3 linked regions of the Caenorhabditis elegans genome follow. The protein of the gene in region 2 purifies or fractionates together with the protein of the main gene of each other region. This does not show direct contact. Each region holds a gene or a part of one and is shown on either strand. Other genes may lie near its edges. The genes, in order: Y38A10A.7, spp-14 and ttr-17.

What was found.
Region 1: the proteins of spp-14 (region 2) and Y38A10A.7 fractionate together in Caenorhabditis elegans (co-fractionation; one large-scale study listed by BioGRID). This does not show direct contact.
Region 3: the proteins of spp-14 (region 2) and ttr-17 fractionate together in Caenorhabditis elegans (co-fractionation; one large-scale study listed by BioGRID). This does not show direct contact.

The regions. Positions count from the first base shown.
Region 1 is NC_003283.11:6,091,582-6,100,032, forward strand, and holds Y38A10A.7 (N-alpha-acetyltransferase 40), read left to right. Parts: upstream 1-4,615; 5' UTR 4,616-4,629; coding exon 4,630-4,730; intron 4,731-4,775; coding exon 4,776-5,114; intron 5,115-5,165; coding exon 5,166-5,322; 3' UTR 5,323-5,512; downstream 5,513-8,451. Other genes in the region: smut-1 (Synthetic MUTator), read left to right, coding at 5,524-5,656, 5,704-6,231, 6,279-6,784, 6,833-7,000, 7,083-7,310; crt-1 (Calreticulin), read right to left, coding at 7,591-7,833, 7,889-8,451.
Region 2 is NC_003284.9:7,721,284-7,728,775, reverse strand, and holds spp-14 (Saposin B-type domain-containing protein), read right to left. Parts: upstream 2,798-7,492; 5' UTR 2,797-2,797; coding exon 2,641-2,796; intron 2,592-2,640; coding exon 2,436-2,591; 3' UTR 2,393-2,435; downstream 1-2,392. Other genes in the region: vit-1 (Vitellogenin-1), read right to left, coding at 3-875; K09F5.6 (Protein tincar), read right to left, coding at 4,167-4,529, 4,658-4,850, 4,905-5,104, 5,471-5,800, 5,866-6,099, 6,150-6,233, 6,281-6,640, 6,684-7,213.
Region 3 is NC_003282.8:11,062,373-11,070,703, forward strand, and holds ttr-17 (Transthyretin-like family protein), read right to left. Parts: upstream 4,655-8,331; 5' UTR 4,653-4,654; coding exon 4,505-4,652; intron 4,459-4,504; coding exon 4,328-4,458; intron 3,826-4,327; coding exon 3,709-3,825; 3' UTR 3,647-3,708; downstream 1-3,646. Other genes in the region: Protein lin-3, read left to right, coding at 722-799; ttr-16 (Transthyretin-like protein 16), read right to left, coding at 1,250-1,366, 1,413-1,546, 1,595-1,742.

The sequences.
Region 1 (8,451 bases), on a different chromosome or scaffold from region 2:
GAATTGTGGGCGGGGTCTGTCATCCTTCGCGGTGAGACCCATCGTGGCGAGACCCATCGTGGTGAGACCCATCGTGGCGAGGCCCATCGTGGTGAGACCCATCGTGGTGAGACCCGTCGTGGCGAGACCCATCGTGGTGAGACCCATCGTGGCTAGACCCTTCGTGGTGAGACCCGTCGTGGTGAGACCCATCGTGGTAAGACCCATCGTGGCGAGACCCATCGTGGTGAGACCCATCGTGGTGAGACCCGTCGTGGCGAGACCCATCGTGGTGAGACCCATCGTGGTGAGACCCGTCGTGGTGAGACCCATCGTGGTAAAACCCATCGTGGCGAGACCCATCGTGGTGAGACCCATCGTGGTGAGACCCGTCGTGGTGAGACCCATCGTGGTGAGACCCGTCGTGGTGAGACCCATCGTGGTGAGACCCGTCGTGGTAAGACCCAAAATTTTGGCGGGAAATTTAAATTTTCTGTGAAAAATATTTTGGCGGGAAATCTGGATCCCTTTATATTATGAAATACATCATAGGCAAAAATAGGTGGATTTTTCAAACTTTGAAAATTCATAAATCTCTTCAAAGTAATTTTTTTTGAAATGTCTTTCAGAAACTTTGTAGTAAATTTTAAGCTCTTTCAGAATATATTAACAATATTCCAGTAGGTACAAGAAGCTTCACGTAGTTACAGAAATAGTACATTTTCAGCCCTACCTTTTAGTGCGTATTTTATTATTTAATGAAAACTACCATCAATAGGCAAAAATAGGTGGATTTTTCAAACTTTGAAAATTCATAAATCTCTTCAAAGTAATTTTATTTGAAATGTCTTTCAGAAACTTTGTAGTAAATTTTAAGCTCTTTCAGAATATATTAACAATATTTCAGTAGGTACAAGAAGCTTCACTTAGTTACAGAAATAGTACATTTTCAGCCCCACCTTTTAGTGCGTATTTTATTATTTAATGAAAACTACCATAAATAGGCAAAAATAGGTGGATTTTCCAAACTTTGAAAATTCATAAATCTCTTCAAAGTAATTTTTTTTGAAATGTCTTTCAGAAACTTTGTAGTAAATTTTAAGCTCTTTCAGAATATATTAACAATATTTCAGTAGGTACAAGAAGCTTCACGTAGTTACAGAAATAGTACATTTTCAGCCCTACCTTTTAGTGCGTATTTTATTAGTTAATGAAAACTACCATTAATAGGCAAAAATAGATGGATTTTCCAAACTTTGAAAATTCATAAATCTCTTCAAAGTAATTTTTTTTGAAATGTCTTTCAGAAACTTTGTAGTAAATTTTAAGCTCTTTCAGAATATATTAACAATATTTCAGTAGGTACAAGAAGCTTCACGTAGTTACAGAAATAGTACATTTTCAGCCCTACCTTTTAGTGCGTATTTTATTATTCAAAAAAACTACCATCAATAGGCAAAAATAGGTGGATTTTTCAAACTTTGAAAATTCATAAATCTCTTCAAAGTAATTTTATTTGAAATGTCTTTCAGAAACTTTGTAGTAAATTTTAAGCTCTTTTAGAATATATTAACAATATTTCAGTAGGTACAAGAAGCTTCACGTAGTTACAGAAATAGTACATTTTCAGCCCCACCTTTTAGTGCGTATTTTATTATTCAAAAAAACTACCATTTATAAGCAAAATAGGTGGATTTTCCAAACTTTGAAAATTCATAAATCTCTTCAAAGTAATTTTTTTTGAAATGTCTTTCAGAAACTTTGTAGTAAATTTTAAGCTCTTTCAGAATATATTAACAATATTTCAGTAGGTACAAGAAGCTTCACGTAGTTACAGAAATAGTACATTTTCAGCCCTACCTTTTAGTGCGTATTTTATTAGTTAATGAAAACTACCATTAATAGGCAAAAATAGATGGATTTTCCAAACTTTGCAAAATTCATAAATCTCTTCAAAGTAATTTTTTTTGAAATGTCTTTCAAAAACTTTGTAGTAAATTTTAAGCTTTTTCAGAATATATTAACAATATTTCAGTAGGTACAAGAAGCTTCACGTAGTTACAGAAATAGTACATTTTCAGCCCTACCTTTTAGTGCGTATTTTATTATTTAATGAAAACTACCATCAATAGGCAAAAATAGGTGGATTTTTCAAACTTTGAAAATTCATAAATCTCTTCAAAGTAATTTTTTTTGAAATGTCTTTCAGAAACTTTGTAGTAAATTTTAAGCTCTTTCAGAATATATTAACAATATTCCAGTAGGTACAAGAAGCTTCACGTAGTTACAAAAATAGTACATTTTCAGCCCTACCTTTTAGTGCGTATTTTATTAGTTAATGAAAACTACCATTTATAAGCAAAATAGGTGGATTTTCCAAACTTTGAAAATTCATAAATCTCTTCAAAGTAATTTTTTTTGAAATGTCTTTCAGAAACTTTGTAGTAAATTTTAAGCTCTTTCAGAATATATTAACAATATTTCAGTAGGTACAAGAAGCTTCACTTAGTTACAGAAATAGTACATTTTCAGCCCCACCTTTTAGTGCGTATTTTATTATTTAATGAAAACTACCATCAATAGGCAAAAATAGGTGGATTTTTCAAACTTTGAAAATTCATAAATCTCTTCAAAGTAATTTTTTTTGAAATGTCTTTCAGAAACTTTGTAGTAAATTTTAAGCTCTTTCAGAATATATTAACAATATTTCAGTAGGTACAAGAAGCTTCACGTAGTTACAGAAATAGTACATTTTCAGCCCTACCTTTTAGTGCGTATTTTATTATTTAATGAAAACTACCATCAATAGGCAAAAATAGGTGGATTTTTCAAACTTTGAAAATTCATAAATCTCTTCAAAGTAATTTTTTTTGAAATGACTTTAAGAAACTTTGTAGTAAATTTTAAGCTCTTTCAGAATATATTAACAATATTTCAGTAGGTACAAGAAGCTTCACGTAGTTACAGAAATAGTACATTTTCAGCCCTACCTTTTAGTGCGTATTTTATTAGTTAATGAAAACTACCATTAATAGGCAAAAATAGATGGATTTTCCAAACTTTGAAAATTCATAAATCTCTTCAAAGTAATTTTTTTTGAAATGACTTTCAGAAACTTTGTAGTAAATTTTAAGCTCTTTTAGAATATATTAACAATATTTCAGTAGGTACAAGAAGCTTCACGTAGTTACAGAAATAGTACATTTTCAGCCCCACCTTTTAGTGCGTATTTTATTATTCAAAAAAACTACCATTTATAAGCAGGAGATCCTCTGTTGACGTTAGCACACTCTTCACTATGCGAAATCAATTTAGAAGACTGCGTCTAAATTCCCGCAATTTTCGAAGATCAAACCGAGATGGGACATTCTGACACTACGTGCACAGTTGATCGTTTGTTAATATGGCCTGGTTTTTCCGCGTAGGTTTCGATGCTTTTTTCAGTTCATGATTGCACAAATTTGTTACATTTATGCATCCATCGAACGAAATTAAACCTAAATCAACAAATAAACTACCAAATATAGAGGGTAATTATTTATATTTATGAAAGTGGAGTTCAGGTCGCTGCGAGACTGTAAAGTTGGTAAAGTGTTAGATTCTGGCGGAACATTCCCTTTTTCCAAATCTTTGAAGCCTCCTAACTTCGCCTTATTGCGAGAACACTAAATTCTGAGAATACGTATTGCGCAACCTATTTGACGCGCAAAATGTCTTGTAGCGAAAACTACAATAATTATTTAAATGGCTACTGTAGAACTTGTGGCGATTTACGGGCTTGACTCTCGAAACGAATTTCAGTTTGAAGTATGACAGCAATTTTAATTTTCGTCCATTTTTTGAGACCCGAAGAACTCGGGGGATGTCCAATTGGGGGGATTACCAACTCGGGGGATTGGCCCCGCCCACAGAACCGTGGCTTGCAATACGCCCATTTCTGCCGCACGGTTTTTCATAACTGCCGCACGGTTTTAAAATTATTTTTTCTTGTTATTTCTCGCTCTATTGAGAAAAATACAGTTTTAAAACCGTGCGGCAGTTGCAGAAATGGGCGTATTGCAAGCCACGGTTCTGTGGGCGGGGCCAATCCCCCGAGTTGGTAATCCCCCCAATTGGACATCCCCCGAGTTCTTCGGGTCTCAGACTTCTGAACTTTTCGCATGGTTAAGAACGTGCTGTCGTAACACTTTTTGTATATTTCTATTAAACATCGTTTTTTATGCTGGATAGCTGTTTTATTTCTAATAATAAAAATTGAAAATATCTAACTAGCATTCAATTTCAGATGATACAGCGAAGAATGACCCTGAAAATATTAGCTAGGAGACATATTACAACTTAAAACATACGAAATGTAAATTTGTTTCCGATTATCAACAAAATTGTACATTTTAACGATATTTTTATCAATAAAGACTAATTTTTACATATAAATGTTAATTTAAAGCAAATCCGTGACTTGACGTGATGGTGTTTGCACACTTTTCACCACAATATACGACATTCAAGTTATATGCATTTTTTTCAAATGATTCTATCCTTTCTTTTCAGTATTCTTTACGGTTTTATTGATCAATTTGTCACCAGTATAATCGATCATGTTTTATTTCTCAATAATTGTAAAACAATTTTTCAGATATCGGCCCAAAAATGCCCGTAGACTCGAAAAAATTGGTCAAAAAAGCTTGTCAGCACATAAAACCAGTTGAGAAATTCGAATGCGAGACACAAAGAAGTACTACAACTGATGGGTAGGATCTTTGAATGATTTTCAAATTAATCTTTATTATTTTCAGCGAAACTATCAAATTCGATTACATGTGGGCGACACATTTGAGTGATGAAGACTTCGAGTGGGTGTTCAGTTTATTCAAAGAGAACATGTACGATATGTATCACAAATCCCAGTGGGGATACGATGAAAATTCCAAGCGAAACGAACTTCGTGCAACAACATCAAGGTTCATCATCGCGAAGAATTCGAAAGGGGATAAAATTGGCTATACCACTTATCGATTTGTGGTCGATCACAACATTCCTGTGGCATATTGTTGGGAACTTCAAATTGTACCGGCTTATCAGAACAAAGGAATCGGTGGCATGATGCTCGACACGCTGGAAAAGCTCTCTTCAAAGTACAGTTTCAATTAATTCGAGAGCCAATAAACAAAAACTCTTATTTTCAGGACAAACATGAGTAAAGTCATGGCAACAGTTTTTCTGTATAATGGACCGTCGCTCGGCTTCTTTCACAAACATGGATACAACAGCGACGTGACGTGCCCATCCGATGATTCTGGTCTGGATTATGCGATCCTGTCGAAAGAGACACCGAGCACATAAGAATATTAAATTCTGATTCTATGATTTTCTAATTTGTTATCATCTTCATTCTGGCTTAATTGTTACATGTATTTTTTTTTGGGTAAACAAACGTTTTTTATATTTCTACTTTTATAATATTGTGTCGTAAAAACCGTTACTTTTCGTTCAAATATTTATTTTCAAACCAAAATATAAACATTTTTGTAATAATCTTTGTAGATGCCTCATCCTTGGAACACTGCCGATGCATTAGACGATAGTCGGGTACAAGTTGAGCACATTGATTTAGTTCCTCCAAAGTATGCAAATGTACTCAACTTCAGATCTATTAAAACTAGAGATTATTATTTTGGTAAACCATGTTCTGGGCAATTAAATATTTCAATAACTTTTCTTCAGCAATGAGAGATCGTCATCAGCAGTTGGGCGCAGTCACATCTTCAAAAGCTGAAACTGACAAATTGAATAAACACTGTGAGGAGAACACGATAATGGTGGATCAAGACGGAGTAGAAACTCCAGCTGATTATGGAACAGAGAGGATGGTTGCACATGCAATAGAAGATCACCGACTTGCCGCCAATTTGCAACGAATAAAAGTTCATATTCTGAATGCAGTTCAACAAAAATCAATTCAAGCTATTCGTGACCGCCGAGGACTTCTAGTGGATGCTCCAACTGGAATCGGGAAGACTTATGCGTTTCTTATTCCGGCGATTGAAATTGCATTGAGGGAGCGACCATTGCTTACCAATATTTCAACCACGCCATCACCAACTATTCTTATTCTTGCAAATACCAACTCACTCGTTGAACAACTTTTTAATCGTTGTGAAGTTCTTCTTGGTTTGATAGATATGGAAGATATTATACCTATTCGAGATATTAAAATTGAAAAACTAGTTGCTAGCTATCAGTTCACAAAAGGTTCGTTACAGCATTCGTCTAACCAAAAAAAAACGAATTCTTTATAGATCAATGCGATATTGCGTTCTGTACGATGGGAAAGCTGAAAGCATCGATCGAGGATAAAACAATTCTTCTTGACAATTTGAAAATGATGATTTTGGATGAATCTGATAAAATGATTGACATTGCATGCTTCGGAAATGACATTGATTGGGTTTTAGACCAACTACAAGAGGATGTGCTCAGAAATCTTCAATCTTGTTTCTTTTCTGCGTCTCACAACAGAAACGAAGATGGTTCAATTGCATTAACTTCACGTCAATCAAGAATGTTAGGTGAAAATCCATGGTCACTGATCCATTGTCCGAGATTGCCTGGATATATCACTCAACGAGTTATTCGAATTGGTGGACAGCGAGTAAATGATATCCATTCGAATCCTTGGATCGTTAAGATGAATATTATTTGTAAATTGTTAGATGATGATCTCAAGGAAATGGGAAGCACAAAAGAAGGCCCATGGAAGCATACTATTGCAATTTTCTGTGAAACTGTCTCAAGAGTTATTCAGGTTTTACCCCTATTCTTTCGATTTTAAAAATATTGAGAACATTTTCAGGTAACTATGGCACTTCGTCAGATGGGATATAATTTCAAACCTGTATGCAGTAGTGTGTTGAAACAACAACAAGCAATCACTTTGAATGATTTGGAGTTTTGCAACATTCATGGAGTTGTATGTACCAATATTATGTCGAGAGGAATCGATGTGTCTTCTGTGAAACAGGTAAGTTTACATATATATTAAATTGATAAAAACATGGCTACTATTGACCCAAATATTTTTTATCTTAAGTCACATATTTCAGACAATAATCATGGAAATGTCCACCGATTTTCCGAGCTACATGCATAGAATCGGACGAGTTGGTCGCGATGGATGTGGTGGAAGAGCTACTGTCCTCATCGATGAGCATCATTTATTTGGCGGACCAATGTCGAATATTATCGAGCAGCTGTGTTCTTTTATGCTCGAATGCGAGGAAACGCTTCCCAATTGGCTTGTAGAATGGCTGAAGTTGCGTCAATCACTTTAATTGAATCACATATCAATTTCCTATTTTGTGCCGGTTTTTATCGCTTTTCTATGTATCTGATCCTGTATTTTATATTCATTGAACTAATCGAACTCGTAAATAGGTTTTAAAATTTTTTTATTATAAAACAAGAAAGGCTATCCAGCATCAAAATGGATGCTCAATAAATTAATAAAACAATCAATTAACCCGAGAGAATAGGAGAGACTTGAATGCGGGGGAATTGTGATGGAGTGGGGGCGATTGTATGAAGCGAGTTGAAAAGCTGTGCACGATTTGCTTAGAGCTCATCGTGTCCTTCCTCCTCTTCCTTCTCCTCCTCATCATCATCCTTCTTGGCCTCCTTCTCCTCCTCGGCCTTCTTGCGAGCCTCCTCCTCAGCCTTGCGGGTTTCTTCGTCGGCCTTCTCCTTCTTTTCCTTCTCAACAGTCTTCAATTTGTCAAAAGTCTCGGCAGCATGGGCCTCGGCCTCCTCAACAGAGTCGGTGATGATAATGTTGTCAAAGATCGTTCCTGACTTGACCTGAAAAAATAAAGTTTGAGTTTCATTTTTGAAAAATAGAATAAAAGTTTCTTACCTGCCACAAATCGAATCCGATGGCTCCCCAGCTTTCATAAGAGTAGAGTTCATCATCAGGAGTGTACTCTGGGTTCTCAATCTCTGGATGGATCCACTTGCCCTTGTAGGCTGGGTTCTTGATCTGCTTTGGCTTCCACTCACCCTTGTATTCTGGGTTGTCGATCATTGGTGGCTCCCATTCTCCGTCCATCTCGTCATCCCAGTCTTCTGGCTTCTTGGCATCTGGATCTGGGATGTGCTCTGGCTTCTCCCAATCTTCTGGCTTGGCATCCTCGGCATCATCGATGTACTCACGCTCATCCCAGTCCTCTGGCTTCTTTGCATCTGGATCCTTGATCTTCTTGGCTGGAAGAAGATCCCAGTCCTCCTCGAGGCTTCCAGTTTGGGCGCTTTCTCCGTCGATCTTGACTTCGTAGGTATTGTCGGAGTTGAGGATGAGAGTGTAGAGATGAGTGAGTTCGTCGCTCTTGCAGGTGATTTCCTTCTTGATGAGCTTGTTCTCTCCCTTGTAGTTAAGGATAACGTGGACACGGCGAGTTGGTCCGCAGATGTCTGGGCCGA
Region 2 (7,492 bases):
ACCTTCTCTATGTGACTTTTGATGGAGTGGTTCTCCTCAAGAACAAGCTTTGAGCGGGTTTCAGTCTTCATGACTTCTTGTCCGTTAACGTTGACAGTGTAAAGGGAGCGGACCTCGGATTCTTTAAGCTCTTCGTTTTCCAAAATGTAGGTGTAGACAGTTTGTGGGCGGATGAGCACGGTGTCCTTCTCGCATTCTGGGCACTCGGAAGAGTAACGAAGTCCGTAAGCGATCTCGGAACGTTCGGTGCACTTGTCAAAGTTGATGGACTTGGTGATGATGGTCTTCTTCTGCTCACGGATGACAGTGTAGGCGACTTGGCAGTCTCCTTCAAGGGTCTTCTCGTTGGTGAAGAAAGAAGTGTTTTCCTCAGATTGTTCCTCCTTGTCATAAGAAGATTCGATTTTCTCAATCTCGTTTCTTGGAGCAATTGGGTTGAATGAGATCATGTTGACAACAGCTCTCTTCATGTTCTTTGACCATTCAGCATCTTCCTTGTCGAATTGGAGCTCGGCGATGAGTCCATTTCTGAGTTGAGCACGGAGTGGGAGTTTGAGCATTTGCTTGTACTCCTCGGAGAGTTCGCGCTGCTCCATGGAGTTCAAGGATGGAATCTGCTCGGACTCTGGGAGGTGGGAAGCGGCCATGTGAATATTCACAAGTTGAAGGTGAATGTGACGGTCATCGACAGCTTGAATACGGACACGAGCAGAAAAACGAGATTGGGAGAGCTCAGAGGAAGCAGTTGGAAGGCCGGAAAGAACAAGTCCGTCGAACTTGTAATGATAGTCGATTTTCGGCTCAAATGTGCGCTCGAAAGCTGGGGAGAAAGCAATGGCCAAAGCCACTATAGATGCGATAATAATCGACCTCATGATTGGACAATGAATTTCCTCTTCACAGGTAACCTTATATACAACCTTCGATTGGCATTTTCTGAATTGAAATGAAGGGTTTGCAACATTTAGCGCACTGATAAGGCTTTAATTTGGCACATTGACAGTTGCTCAATAATTTTTCACTTTATTATCGCTGAATCTCAGAAATAGCTTCTATCAAATGTGAATTTTTTGTATTTCTACGTGTTTCATCAAACTTTGATTGACCATGCACAAATTGTCTTTATGCAATTGATAGTAGTGTTATGACAAGTGTTATGACAATTGCGGAGAAATTTTGTTTTGTGGAGGACAAGTATTTCAAGTGTAATGCTAACAACTAATAGCCAATTTTTTCAAAGTACTTTTTTAAAAACTTTTTTGTAGTGATGAAGTTGAAAACTTTGAAGTTTCAGCCATTTAATTTATTTCAAGGTTATATATTTAAGTCGCAAAATTGTTTTACAAGACGGTTGCTATTTATAATTGTTGATTCAATTTTTCAGTCGAGCATAAAGGCTAGTGCACTTTGTTTTAACATATCAAAGAATTGTATATTTCAGGTGACAATTTTATCTCTCAAATGACATGCAGGAAACAGCAAGTTTTACATTCGAATATCCACAAGAGTACCTTATGTGATAAAGTTTTGTTTTTTTGTTGTTGTATTTCTTTCTCTAAGTTATTCACTAAATGTGAAGTGCAACGAGAACAATTTGAGGTTTGTAAACAAAAAAAAAACAAAAAAAAAACCGAAATTGTAAACATAGTTTTTTAAACAGAAACGGTTACTAGAGATTTTGTGGAATATAATAACTGTATTTTTTTTATAGTTGGTGTGACATGTGTGACTTTAGCCATTAACAGATCTTATTTCCTTAATTGTGTTTTTTCATAGAACACATTACAAAATGACTGAATATGTGAAAACGAAGTGTCACATCATTTACCAAACCAAAAATCAAGAATGATTTTGGAATAGGTATTCAAGCCTGCTTACCAACAGGACAACCTCTGCCTGTTTCAAAAGATAAATGCATTCACTGACAAAGTTTTGTCGAGATTTATTAAAATCGTTTGATTCAAATTTTCAACCAAAGAACGTGAAAAAATTCAAACGTTTACTGAAAAAAAACATTGATCATCGGAGTTTACTTCATCTTTCAGATTTAAATGTTTAGGTAAAATTTTATTTTAAACGCGGTTTATTAATTTTTGACATATGTAGGCTTGAATTGTTACAATTCAAGCTACACTTGCGTAGAAAATAACCTGATAACCTTATACGAAAAAAGTTTATTTCAGCTTTCAATTTGGAGCTAACAAGAAGTTGTCACGTTAGAGCCGAATCGACACTTTTTGGTAGTCAACGTCTATAGCTTTGATTGCCACTGTAGTTAACTTTGCTCTTCCTCTCACGAAAAGTCAGTTTTGTTCAGAGTTAGTGAGATTTATCAGTTTCAGGCGCGCTGATATTTGACAATTTGAAGTTCATATCTGAATAAACAATTTCAAAGGTCATTCACACTTTATCAGAAGAAAAAGAAACATAAAGAATTAGCACTCCTTGAGCTTTTTGCAGACATCTTCTGGAGCAGTTCCTCCCTCGAGCTCGTTGATGATGGGGTCAAGCTTGGAGTTTCCGTACTTCTCACATTCCTTCTCGGCAAATGGAATGATTCCAAGTTCCTTCTTGCATTCGGCGTCAAATTTCTAAAATCATATTCACTATAATGACCAAACGAACAGTTTGACTACTTACGTCCTCAACGGTGTGAGCTTCTCTGTCAGCTGGGTTTTCAGCAGCACGGACTCCGACCTCGCACATGAGGCAGCTCATGGCATTGTCCTGTTGGCTTGGGAGAGCCAAAGCGGTAGCGACGGCGACAAGGGCCAGAAGGCAGAAGGTGGTCTTCATTCTAAAAAGAAAATAATATAAAAACGACATTCTAACCTTATCAAGAAATCAGCAGTCTGCAAGTTTGTCATGAATGAAATGAATGAAAATTCCGAAAGATAAGGGAAGAGTTAAAGTGCTGTTATCATAACGATTGTCTCGTTCATTTTATACAGACTTTCAACAAGGAAATTTTAAGTGCTCAGCCCGACGAAAACTTGAATCGCATGACACTGTCCCGCCCACTTTTATAACCCACTGATAACCCGATAATCCGGAATCTTTGAGTTCTTTACTCTGTCTGATTATAAAACTCTATTTGAGATAAAACTGTTTACATCATATTTCAATAACATATTCTTATATTCCTTGATACTTTTAAATTTGTTTGCTCTTTATTAGTGATTTTTTTTTTTTGAAATTTGATTTCAATAAAATCTGAGAAAGAAAATATTGAAACAAAGAATGTGGTCAAATGGGGTTGACAAACAATAAAACGAATTATGACAAAATGTTCAGAGAAATTGTGGAAATTCAAAGAAATGTACCCGATATCCAACGGGAATATAGTACAGTAACAAAGGAAACGATTTTTGATGATTTTTGGTGTGGGGTGACATGAAAAAAGGGAGGAGGAGTAGAAAAACGTAAGAAGAAATTATCAGTTATACATAAAAATGCGGGAGGCAATTATTACGCGCTTACTTACAAGGGTCGAAAATCAAAGAAAGTGGCGAGGAAATTGTTCCATAAACAGTAGAATTCAGTCCGTTTTCAGCAATTTGCAAATCAAGACCGAAATTATAGAGAAAAATAAAAAATGAATTTCAACAATTATAGTGGGATGATGTGTTTGTTTGGCGGTTAACTGTTTAAGTGTTTGGCGAGAAGAAGTGCATTGTCACGGAGTTGATTTGGTTCATGTGTTAATTGGGGGAATAGTTCATCGGGATCAGTAGGGTTCCTGTAAAATGTATCTTTGTCAAAAGTTAAGAATGCAAACTCTGTGAACAGTGAAACTTATCAATTTCATCCTAAAATTATATGGGCTTTGAAACCGTTTTCTGAACTAATTTTATTAGGCTTACATGATCAGGTTACATGATATACAATTTCGGTTTAATCGTGTTCCTTATTTCTATTTAAAGGGTAATGCAATACTAATAGAGGAAATACGGTGAATCATAACATTTTTGTAAATTAATAGTAAAATATCTCGGTTTTTTTTTCATAATTCGATGCAGATAGTTATGATATCGCTTTCAATTGTTTCAATTTTTTTGATGATTTCTATATTTCAGAGTTGCAATCATTCCGTTTGAAAATTTTGAATTTGTAAACATTTCTAGTTACTTTTGAATTAAGACCTACCAAAAATGTAAAACAAATATTCACACAATGCTGGTAGCAAAGTCATTTTGGTTAAGTGCTCCAGTGGGTGGACGAGAAAAGCTTGATACAGTGTCATCTGTTCCGTTCACGGAACGAAGTATTGTATTTCCAGTCGTCACTGTTGTAGATTTGATCGGTGCTTTTTGAAGTGTCCTGTCAGCATATTGACTTTCTTTGGAAGCAACTCCGTAAAGATTTGACGATGTGGAAGATGCTCCATTGATTCGGGAATAGATCGGATTGGATCCTTGTGGAGATCCAGGTGTTGGAGTGTAGTTACTTCCGTGACTTGTTAGTGTTGAAGTCGGGGTAAAGCATTGCTCATCGTTTTGAGATGAATTTGTTGTGCTGGTTAGCGATGACTGCAATGGATGTGGATGTTAGAATGAGATGTGTGCCGAAAATGTGAATGAATAAATAACTCATCGTGCAAAAAATTGAAATAATGAGAGAAAAGCTCGAATACAACAACTCAAATAGATAAAATAACCTTATTGTGTCCGTTTGTAGCTCCTGGAGGGTTCCATAGCAATTGACCTGGTTGCCCAGGTGCCGCTCGTTGAGCACCTCCCCATTGAACATTATTTCCTGATCCAATACCACTTGTTCCATATATTCCACTACCCTTGTTCTCGGAGAACGAAGAAAGTTTGATCGCAGACCGTTGATAAGGAGACTGTTCCCTGAATTTTTCAAAAATTATATCGAAATGTTGAACATAAAGTTTGCCAAGATACCTGCTGACAAGAGGTTGTGGCGGAGGCACGTTTATCCCAGAGCGGTCTGATAAAAGTGGAGACTGGCGGATTGAGCTTAATGATGGTTGTTGAGAATGTTGTGTAGGTGTGACTTCACGTCTCTGAAGTGTGTTTTGTTGTAGCCCTCCGTAACCGTTTACACGAATTTGACTTCCTTGTGGGGTTACTTGGATTCGAGACTGGAATTCAGAATATTCTATTTTTACAGAAATTTGTATCTTATATTTAGTAGCTGTACCCTAAAATGTTCGCTTCGTATGAAGTTCAGTAATGGTCAACAGGCAAATGAATGATACAATTGTTTTTTAGGCTTCAGGCTTATGTTTAGGGTCACGTTATATTTTGTGAGATACTTACAAACTTTTTGAGGTACAGTTATTACGCATGTACCGTGATATCATCAGTTTTTGTTATTATGAAACATCGACTCAATGTAATGTTTGACTATTAAGTCGATCATCAGCCAATGTTTTTGCTAACTTAAATCATACGATTGCAAAAGTGCACCACATATTTCACAACAACTCCTGTTTTATTCTACCCACCACATTTGGAATTCTTGCGTAACTTCCGTATGTGCTATCAACTCTTCCGTATGCGGCCTCTCCACTATCTCGCCGTTGGCCCAGCATGTGTTGCTGCTGCTCGTCTTTTTTTTGAATCGCCGAGTACTGATTCCAGACGTTGTCGTGAATCATGGCGCCACGCTGAAGAGTTCCGCCACTTTGCCCGCGTTGTAGTGTGCCCATTTGGCTGTATTGCTGTTGGTTGCGTTGTATGGTTCCAAACTGGCTAGGACCTGGTGGTGAGCTGTTTCCACGTTGCAAAATTTGGGAGTTGGTCATTTGAGCTTGAGTTATGTTACGACCACCATTCTGAAACAAATAATGTTGGGAAATGTTAGGTTACGAAATTGGATAGTTGTGAAACAAAGACTCACTGAGTGATAACTCATCGTTTGTTGCGTGTCATCTGTGCCCATTCTCAACAATCTAGACATTTCAGGACTATTCTTAACGCCGTCAACTTCGGTGAGAATTTTCGCCCGAGTTGCAGGACTTTGTTGACCTTGCCTCCAGTACACATCATCGGGTGGACTTATCATTTCAAACTTTCCACTGTGAATTGCTCGAAGAAGCGATTGTTTTGCTGTTTGGTCATCGGTCACAAACATCTTTAAAAAAATAATGCTTGTTTCACTTTTAAGAACTAATATGTACTTACAGTATCACGATGAACAACAAGAATAGAGTTTTTCAGTTGAGATGGATTTTCATTTCCACGAATTGGTCCAATTGCCATTCCTTTCTGAAAATAATTCTGCTTGACACTATCAATTTATTGTTCAAACTTACATTCAATCCATAGAACTGATGAACTTTATGCGTAACATTAAAATCCCAATCTCTTTTTAAGGTCATTCCAAGCCACATCAGAATCCATGAAAACATGTAGACGACGTCAATTATGATGCAAGTCAGTATTAATGCTTTTTGTTCATGCTGATAAAGAATCAACAGAGCGTAGATGGTAGGACCAATCGCTCCAGCAACAATGACTAAAAGTGCAATGGCATCCATATGTGGCAAATAACCATCACAGCACAACTTGTTTCCATCGACTCTTGTGTAGGAGCGTCGTCGATAATCACCATATTCAGCCTGGCCTTGGGATGTTCTGGCGGCGTTTCTATGTTGTACATTAAGCACGTTTGCCTGTAATAAACATATTATCAAAGAAAATATCATAATCACTTACATATAACTTGTTGTATCCATAAGAGTACATTGCCATCGGAGCAAGTGTTGTCATTACCAAACGGACCACGAAAGAACCAAGAATGACATATGGATGATAAATATGGAATCCCAGTGGCTTTATGGGTCCAAGGTACTGCCCTAGTCCAACTGCTCTCACACTATGAATGTTTGTTTCTTGTATCCGGAAAAGAATAGAAAACGACAAGTAACCCCAGATAACCTGTGCCGCGTAGATGACCAAGTGGAGTGAGAAGATCACACTAAATGGCTTGGAAACTCTCCAGAAGACTGCTGGGTACGCAATTGCAAATGCCACAAGTGCAATGAAAAGATTCACCATTTCCAATGGAATTCCGAAAAGCTTCATGTGCATCAGAACGGGTAAAAGGTTTGGCGATACTGGAAGTCCGGCCAATTCGTCGGCAGTTATCCGGAATCCCTGAAGTCGTGTCTCACCGATTGGAAGGTTAGTTGCCAATTGACGAGAGCGTTGGTACAGAAAGTCCAATTCAGTGTTAAGGAAGTCGCCTGAAAGAAATGTTTTTGTGCAAAAAACCGTAAAAAATATTTATTGATAGAACAGAACAATTTGCTTTCAATTTACCAATACCAATAGACTCAAAACCGTCATGTATTTTAGCTGATACCTCCGCTTTTCGTTGAATTATTATTTGTTTCTCGTTGAACTATTACATAGAAATTAAATACCGGCCATCCAAGCGGACAACTTTGTTAAATTTTAGATTATTTAGCTGTTTTTAGTTGAATTTAGCGCAATTCAATAGGTGTTATTATAAAATTGTGTCT
Region 3 (8,331 bases), on a different chromosome or scaffold from region 2:
AAATCTTTAATGATTTTTTGGATTTTGCAAAAACTAAAAAAAGGCTAATTATTTTTGAATTACCGCGCAAATGATGGAATGATTTCTGGAAAATATTTTCTAATTTTTCAATATTTGATGTAAACACCGTTTGTCAATTTTTCAGACAATTTCCCGTAAACTTGAAATAACCCCCGAAAGAAATTCGTTGAAATTACTAGTTTGGCAAAAATATCGATAATTTAACTTAAATTAATATTTTTTGCGCGGAGAATTGTCTGAAAAATTGAGAAACAGTAATTCAAATCAAATATTGAAAAAAAAAATTGAGAAAAACCAACGAATTTATTCATAAAAGTGAAAATGTCGAATCCAGGTTAGTCGCAAATTCAAAAATAATTATCCCTCAAATGTTTTTTCATTACTTTTTTAGCAGTTATATCTGTTTATTACGGTCCTTTTTCATTTAGATCACATTTTTAAAAATGACTGTACTCCGCCTTTAACTGCAAGCGGAATTGCGCCTTTAAAGATTACTGTCTTTTGCAACCCCTCGTTGCTACGAAATTTTCATTGATTATAATACAATACATTTTTCGGGTTACATCCATTTGTTTATTTTTTGGAAAATGATTACAGTAATCTTAAAAGACGCAGTTCAACCTGGTATCGTATTATTTGTGCAAAAATCGCAAAATCTAACCTCTGAATAATAAAATGATTACTCATTTGAAAGTTTCAGAATTTTCGATCCCCGTCTCGAAGTTCTGGAGAACAAGGATCACCAGCAACATGTGAACCAATGATTCGACACACATGAAATTATAATTTGTTTCCTTATTTTGTCTTATCTTTTTCTTTTTTCATCAACTTCTCTGTGCTATAATTGTGATTTACCACTGCTCAAACATCTCTGGTCTCTTCAAATTTTTTCGCTTTCTCTTTTTTCCTCTATTTTCATATCGTTCTACATGTTTTATAGATTGCATTTGGCACCCTATTATATCCCACCCAAATGTTCTATAGTTCTCTCACTCTCCCTCTCAGTTCCTGTGACAATTTGTATAATTTTGCCAGTTCAACTCCTCGATTTCCAACGGGTACAATATTTGCATCGTTTTTGTAATTTCCTTTGATCCCTAGTCTCTTCAGGTCCTCGTTGAAAAAACTAAACATTTATTTCATGTTTTTATTAATGGAAAATTGAGAAAAATCATATAGAAAAAATATATATTTAGATAGTCAATAAAATCCAGGAAGTTTGCACTTTTTACTGGCATTTTTCCTTCTCTCCGTGAACCTTGATGTCGAGGGTGACGTAGGTCATGTCGTAGGTTCCTCCGATCTTGTCCTCTGGCACCAAGTACCTTCCGATGCGGACACAGTTCTGGAATTATTTTAATAAATATATTCCATTATTTATTTTGACTTACTGGCTTAGATGGGTTGCAGCTATGGGTAATCAAAAGGTATGGGGCAATAGCATGAGTCTCATCTTCTTCTCCGTAAACGCTGAATTCTCCTTCAGCATCAGTTTTCTTGGTGTCCAAAAGATCATCTGGGTCAACTGAAAAATACAAATACATTTATAGAAAAGTTCTATCAATGAACTTACGGGTGTCCTTCTCATAGAGTTGAACTTCAACATTTGCCAATCTCTTCTTATTGCACACGGCAACTCCCTTAACAGTAACATTCTGAAGACGGGCTGTGCATTCAAGAGCACAAGCGGCGAGCAAGAGACACACGACGAGCGAGCGCATTTTCAACAATAAGTTGTTGAGGTGACTGGCGTCGTGTTGGGGCTCACTATTTATATTGAGATTTGGAGATTAACGTCAGGTGTTGTCCCCCCTTCAATCAACCAATAGAATCAAAGAAACGAGAGCCAATTGGCGTGTCCAACAGCCAGCCATGAGACAACATGAGAACTTGAATCAGAAACAACAACAAGTAATCAGGGATTAGATAATGGGTTGGCAAGCTTGAAAAACAAAATCAAGATTTCAAAATATAATTATGACTCATTTTTTATACGGGGGAGGAATTGGATTCAGAATATCTTGTGCACATACGGAAGTTTTCTTTTCTGATAATCAGATCCACATAGGAGTTCCATGGGAGAAGGGTGTGGTATCAGGGTTTTCTGCATTTTGGCAGAAAGCGCGAGTTGAGGCGTGAGGGAGGCCCGTCGCCTTAATGTCAGGCATGCGTTTGGCGCCTACATGTTAACCCTAATTTTTTTTCTAATTTTATCTAAAATCATATTTATCGGAGGCGTTTTCCGGGCTATAGGAGGGGAGGCGTGCGTCTGCGAAATACCTTATCGAAAATCGGTACAGTTTCAGCTGTCATATTACAGGCTCACGCTGTACCTTTTATATTACGTTTCCGTTTGATTCACAATATTTATTATTGACAATACATTCAGATTGGATTGATTTCTATATTTCAACTGGAATTTTTTTTCGTTTTCAGGCTAATAGTTTTTGTGATGTTACGTGGGATGTAGTGATATCCGCTTCCAGTCTTTCAAACAAACAAACAAAGCTGTAATGATCATTTTGTACACTTGATTATTGATATGTTTACAAGATTAGATGCATGCAAAACAATTTTCAAAAACATAATCGATATTGAAATCAATGTTCACAAAGAGCAATTTGAGTTTCTGATAATCCTTCGAACACTAAAGTTTGAGATCAGTCTCTGATGTTATTGCCAGTTGGTGATTGATCCCTCTAATTGAATCTCAGAATTTTATGTTTGAAATGTGAATGCGTCAGACAATATATAAAATTTTAAACATCACAACAAAAACTGGAGGGTTTCTTCGTTTAGCACTGTTTCATGATTTCATAGTTTCGAAGTTCTAATTCAGCTTTCTGAACATTAAAATGAGGTTTTAAATTATATATAAATTCATAAACAGTTCAAACTTATTTTTAATGAATTTTGTTTTATTTCTCGAGGGGTTCAATTAAGTACTGACCTATGTTTTTTAATATAGTATTTTTTCCACTTTCTACTGCAATGCCCAGATTTCCCGGACTTCGAGTAACAAAGAACGATGATTCACAAAAATTGAAACATCAACGAAAAACAAGTCAGATATCCAGAAGAACATATACACGATCGTGTTACAGCTTGGTGTGCAGCCAGCACTATATCATTTTCTAACTGTATAGGTTTACCTTTTATAAGTTGAGCATTTTTTATTCCAATGCTGAAAGAACAACAATTTTAAAATGTCAGATCTGCGTAACTAGAATCTTCAGAAAAACTTGAAATCTGGAAAGCTGCGGTAGTTGCCGATGTCACACAAAACGATTCTGGAAATTTTTAACTTTTATTATATATATTTATTTTCTGAATTTACTCTTTCTGTGGAAGGTATCAAAATAGACCAAATTTAAAAGTTATACTTCTTTTCGACAAGAAAATTATTTTTTTGTCCTCGTTCTATTTGTCACTCTTCAATTGTTTCTTTCTTTTGACTTCTTACGTAACCTTCTCTCGACGTATTTTTCAACCTTCCTGAACATATTTTTTCCACTCCACTCCACTGCCCAATCATTCCGGAATCCCGAAGTTTCTCTTTCGTCAGTTGGCAGGGGGTTGTACTCCGAATCAATTAAAAACAAAAACCAGAAATAGTTCAAAACGTTTTAGGGTAAAATACGAATTTATGTACATACAATTATATGAGTTGAAACAAAAAAATCATAATTAGTTGCAGATGGTCTTCTCTCCATGAACAATAATATCAAGGGTAACATAAGTCATGTCATAGACCTCTCCGATTTTTTCTTGTGGAATTTGATATTCGGAAACGCGTTCACATCCCTGGAAACATAACATTTTTTAAATTTCTTCAATTAAGTTTTTCAAATTTATATTCGAAGTAGCTATTGCTAAGTAGGTGTGCATGTTTACGTGCCTAAATACCTACCGCCTATATTTTGCATTTCAAACCACGCTCAGTATTTGCACTGTGTAGATTTGCGTATTTCTGATTTGCAATAAATTTACCAAAAGTTTCAATTTATCATCAGGAGAGCGTAAATTGGCTTTCAGTCAGGAAGAGATATTTGCCTACTTGGGAGGGTTATTTAAGTGTCATATTGTACTAGATATTTTCAATTCACAAGGTTAATTTGTATCTATATATGCACCTTTATAATCTGCTTCTCATCAATGTATTATTCATGATAATTTATAATAATGTATAATAATTCAAGAAAATATCAAACTTTTTCAAATTGCCATTTTCCTTATTACCAGCCAGATTTTCTAATTTATTCCTACAGTTTCACTCATAAGATTAGATTAAATTAGAAATACTTACTGGTTTGGTATTGCAACTGTGATGAATACGAATGTATGGCTCAATTTTGCCAATCTCATCTTCCTCTCCGAACAACTCGAATTCTCCTTCCTTGTTGGTATGAATTTGAGCCAATTCGTCATTTGGGTCCACTGAAACTTATGGAATAATATTAATATTTTTCCTTGTCACACTTACAGGTATCCTTATCAATCAGAATAACATGGGAATTAGCCATTCTTCTCTTGTTACAAACGGCAATTCCTTTTACAGTTACATTTTGAAGTTTGGCGGATACTTCAAATACAGCGAGTGACAAAAGAACAAGGATAGCAAGGCGAGACATGGCTGAAAGTTTGACGATTTTTTGTTGTTATTGCAAGAAAAAAGAACTGAAAGTTTTGAGCGTCAAGTGTGTACTTTTATAATAGATGGGCGGAGTTTTGCAACGGAAGTGATCGTTTTGTTTTTATAAATATAAAATTGCTTGATACTCTTCTTCAACACATCCATCTATTTCCAACAGGTGACAGAAACGTAGGTGGTGGATTTAAATTGAAGTGATGTGGGGAAAAAGAAAGAATCGAAGAGCAATAGTTTTCAAGAAAAAGAAGAAAAAGATGGACCATCATCAACGTAAATAAAAATAGATCAGAGAGCAAAATGAGTCGTTTCAATCAAGAATGGGACTTGTGAGATTTTTGAACTCCCTGCTCTATTGGATTGGTTTCTGATGATGATAAGGTTAAAAATAGATGAAGTAGAACTTTTTGAGATGCACGTTTCGGAGAGTTAATATGTCTAGTCTCGCAAACCGGACTGAACCGGAAGTTCGGTATCCAGCATATCGTACTTTTTCAGTGTTATGTGTGTTTCAGCAATTTTTCAATTAATGTCATGATTTCTTGATAGTTGAAATAACTGGACACTAGTATTTTTTCATGATCTTGAGAATTCGTAACGCAGAATGAAAACTCGAAAAAAAAAACCGTCATCCCTAGTCTTCTCTGCATGTCCCTACTTACCACAAAGATTGAACTACGCATTGTGTACGTATAATTTTTTGTCAGTTGGCTTCTTTTATTTATACCGAAAACAAACTTTTTACTCTAGGAGGTTTATTGAAAATGACATAGCTTTAGAAGTGTGTAATGTATACATAAGTATACTTCTAAAAAATTATCTGAAAGAGGTGACAAAACTTGAAAAATATTTTTAGTCTTTTTTCAAATAAATTGTAAACATCTTTCAAATTTTTAATTATGTTCAAATGTAAACTTTTGAATAAACTATGACTGTCCAAGGAAACTTGGTTATTCTCTCAATGCAAGCAAAGTGTATATCGTACTCAACAAAGAAAATCTTATCAAAAAAATTTTGGTTTTTTTTTAAAATTTGATTGACTTACTATTTGGCTCAAAACTGGAAAGTTTTGGAAAACGGTTCATTTTTTAAGCTTCTTTCCTTAAATATTATTTTTAATTGTGGAGATGTGAACATGTTGAAGATATTCCTTCAACAACTGAGGACTGCCGGTTTCTTTCAGGTTTGTTTCAAGTTCAGGTGTTTTAATATACAAATCAAAACCTTCATATAACTTTGCTAACTTGTTTCGAACTTTGATCATTTCGTACTTCTTGTGTGTGATCTATTCAACTTCTCATTTTAATCAGATTCCGACACAGCTCAATTTTTATTGCGTGGTATTTGTCTGTGTCTCTTAAAAACTTGTATGACGTTAAGAAGTGTAACACCACTTTAAAGATGTCCAATGGAAATGGAACAACTGTCAATTTAAGTTTTCTCATGTGTTTATAAACATTTCAATGTTGAAGAGAGATACGTGTGTCACATGATTAGTTGAGAAGATACATCTGATTGACACTGATTGACAGGAAGAGCTGTGATAAGATGTGGGGACTACACGGCTCAGTGGGATGCACTTAAATCTCAAAGTGTAGAAAATAGTTGTATTGGTTTCTGATGAAAAAGACCTGGTGAAGTACCCAGTTGGGATTTTGTCAAATAACACAAAACAGTTATTTGAAAAATAAAATGTCTAATCAGAACACTTTAAAGAGTTTCAGATTTTAATCATTAGTCCAAGTTTTGGCAAGTTGCCAAATTAAGCAAAAACTAACTTTTGAGAAATTTAGGATATATTTTCAAAGCTTGTGAAGTGGAGTAGCGCCAGTGTGGAAATTACCTTAAAACCGATCAAAGCAAATATATTTTCTTCGAATTACACAGTATACTTATGATTCAAGTATATTAATAGACGAAAAATTTTATAAATTGTAGAAAATATGTTTCATTGTCGACTGCAATTGGTAATTTCCATGGAACGTCTCAGAGAAATCTACAACTTCTGGTCTACCGGTTTTTAAAGTTTTTTTGCTACCTTTCTTCAAGGATGAAGCTCCATTTTTCCCGAAACTATATTGATTGAATGCTTTACTTGTTTGGAAGATTAATTTTTTTTTATATTGTTTTTATTTATTTTAATTTTATGAATTCAATTCTATTTGGAAACGAGCACATCAGCATTATGGTTATCATTAAATTTCATTTCGCGTGGAGGGCGAAAAGATAATTTCCATTCAGGATATTATGCTAATTGAATTCACGTTTCAGTTTTTTAAACAGAGTGTCAAGAACGTCGATCGAATTTCGATTATTTTCAATTTTCACTCGAGTTGTGCGACAGAATGTCTCTGGCTTTAGGTAGTAAAGAACGTAATGATAAGTAAGTTTTTGGTTCACATTTTGCGAATGCGTTTTTGTGGAATAGTTTAAAGTAACTTTAAAAATGAGTTTACTTGCAGAAAAAAGAAAAACACTGTCAGAAAGAATTCGACAATGAATCCAGCTGAAGATGGTAGCAAGGAAAAATCAAAGAGTAAAAGTAACGAATCAAAAGACTCAAAAAATTCGAAAAACTTGTGCACCAAAGATGCAACATTTGAAAAAGCCAAAGGTGGAATCAAAAAAACAATCGGATGGATGACGGAGACACAAGCTAAACCTGGTGGACTTGTTGGTTTTTTCAAGTCGTCATCTTTCGAGAGGACACCACCGGAGGAGCATAAGACCTATGCATTTCAGGTAACATACATTACGAGTTCTCATCAATCTATTGTGTAGGCGTCACTGTACCTTCATCTACCATAGCTTCCAACTAGGCTATGATAGGAACGCGTCGGTTTTAACAAAGTAGCCGACATTTTTCGTAATGCCTATAAGAGACTAATAAGACTAGTAATGTCTTTGATGAATCACAATAATTGTATTACAGGCGAATCGAGAAAAAAACAGAAATCCTGATTTTCCATTGTACGATGTTACACGTGTACGGCTTAAAACAGAAGCAGAAGATGAAAAAAATTACATCAATGCTTCAATTACTTCATGTCCACCTTGTGAACGCAAATGGATTGTTGCTCAACATCCAATGAAAGAATATTACGAATATTTTTGGAAAATGGTTTTCTATCAGGAAATTGATGTGATTTTTGCAATTTTCTCCCCGGATGAGCAACTTCCCATGTATTTTCCGACTGAACATGGTAGGTTTCACTAATTAAAAAGTTGCAGTCAGAAAAAAGTCTTGGTCTGAATAGAATTTGCTAGCTACCGTAATCATATAATTTCTTTATTATTTCATAACTTCAGAAAATTTTATTTCATTTTTTCGTGCTTTCAGACATTTTAATGTTTACTTACTTATCTAAGTAAGTAAACAATTATTTTGAAACAAATGAAAAACTAGAAATAATTGCGAGACATCTGATGGTACGATAGTTGAAAATTTTTGTTTGTTGCATGTCTCAAGACCAAAAATTTTTCTCTAACAATCATATATATTTTAGGAAAATTCTATAACCACGGTCAATTCTTCGTTCATTGTTGGAAAATGACCCCACCAACGGGAAGGAATCAGGCAATGCTCGTTTCATAACAATTCTCCATTATCCACATTGGCCGAAAGGACACGTGGCACCAAGTCCAAAAGTAATTCTGAGAGG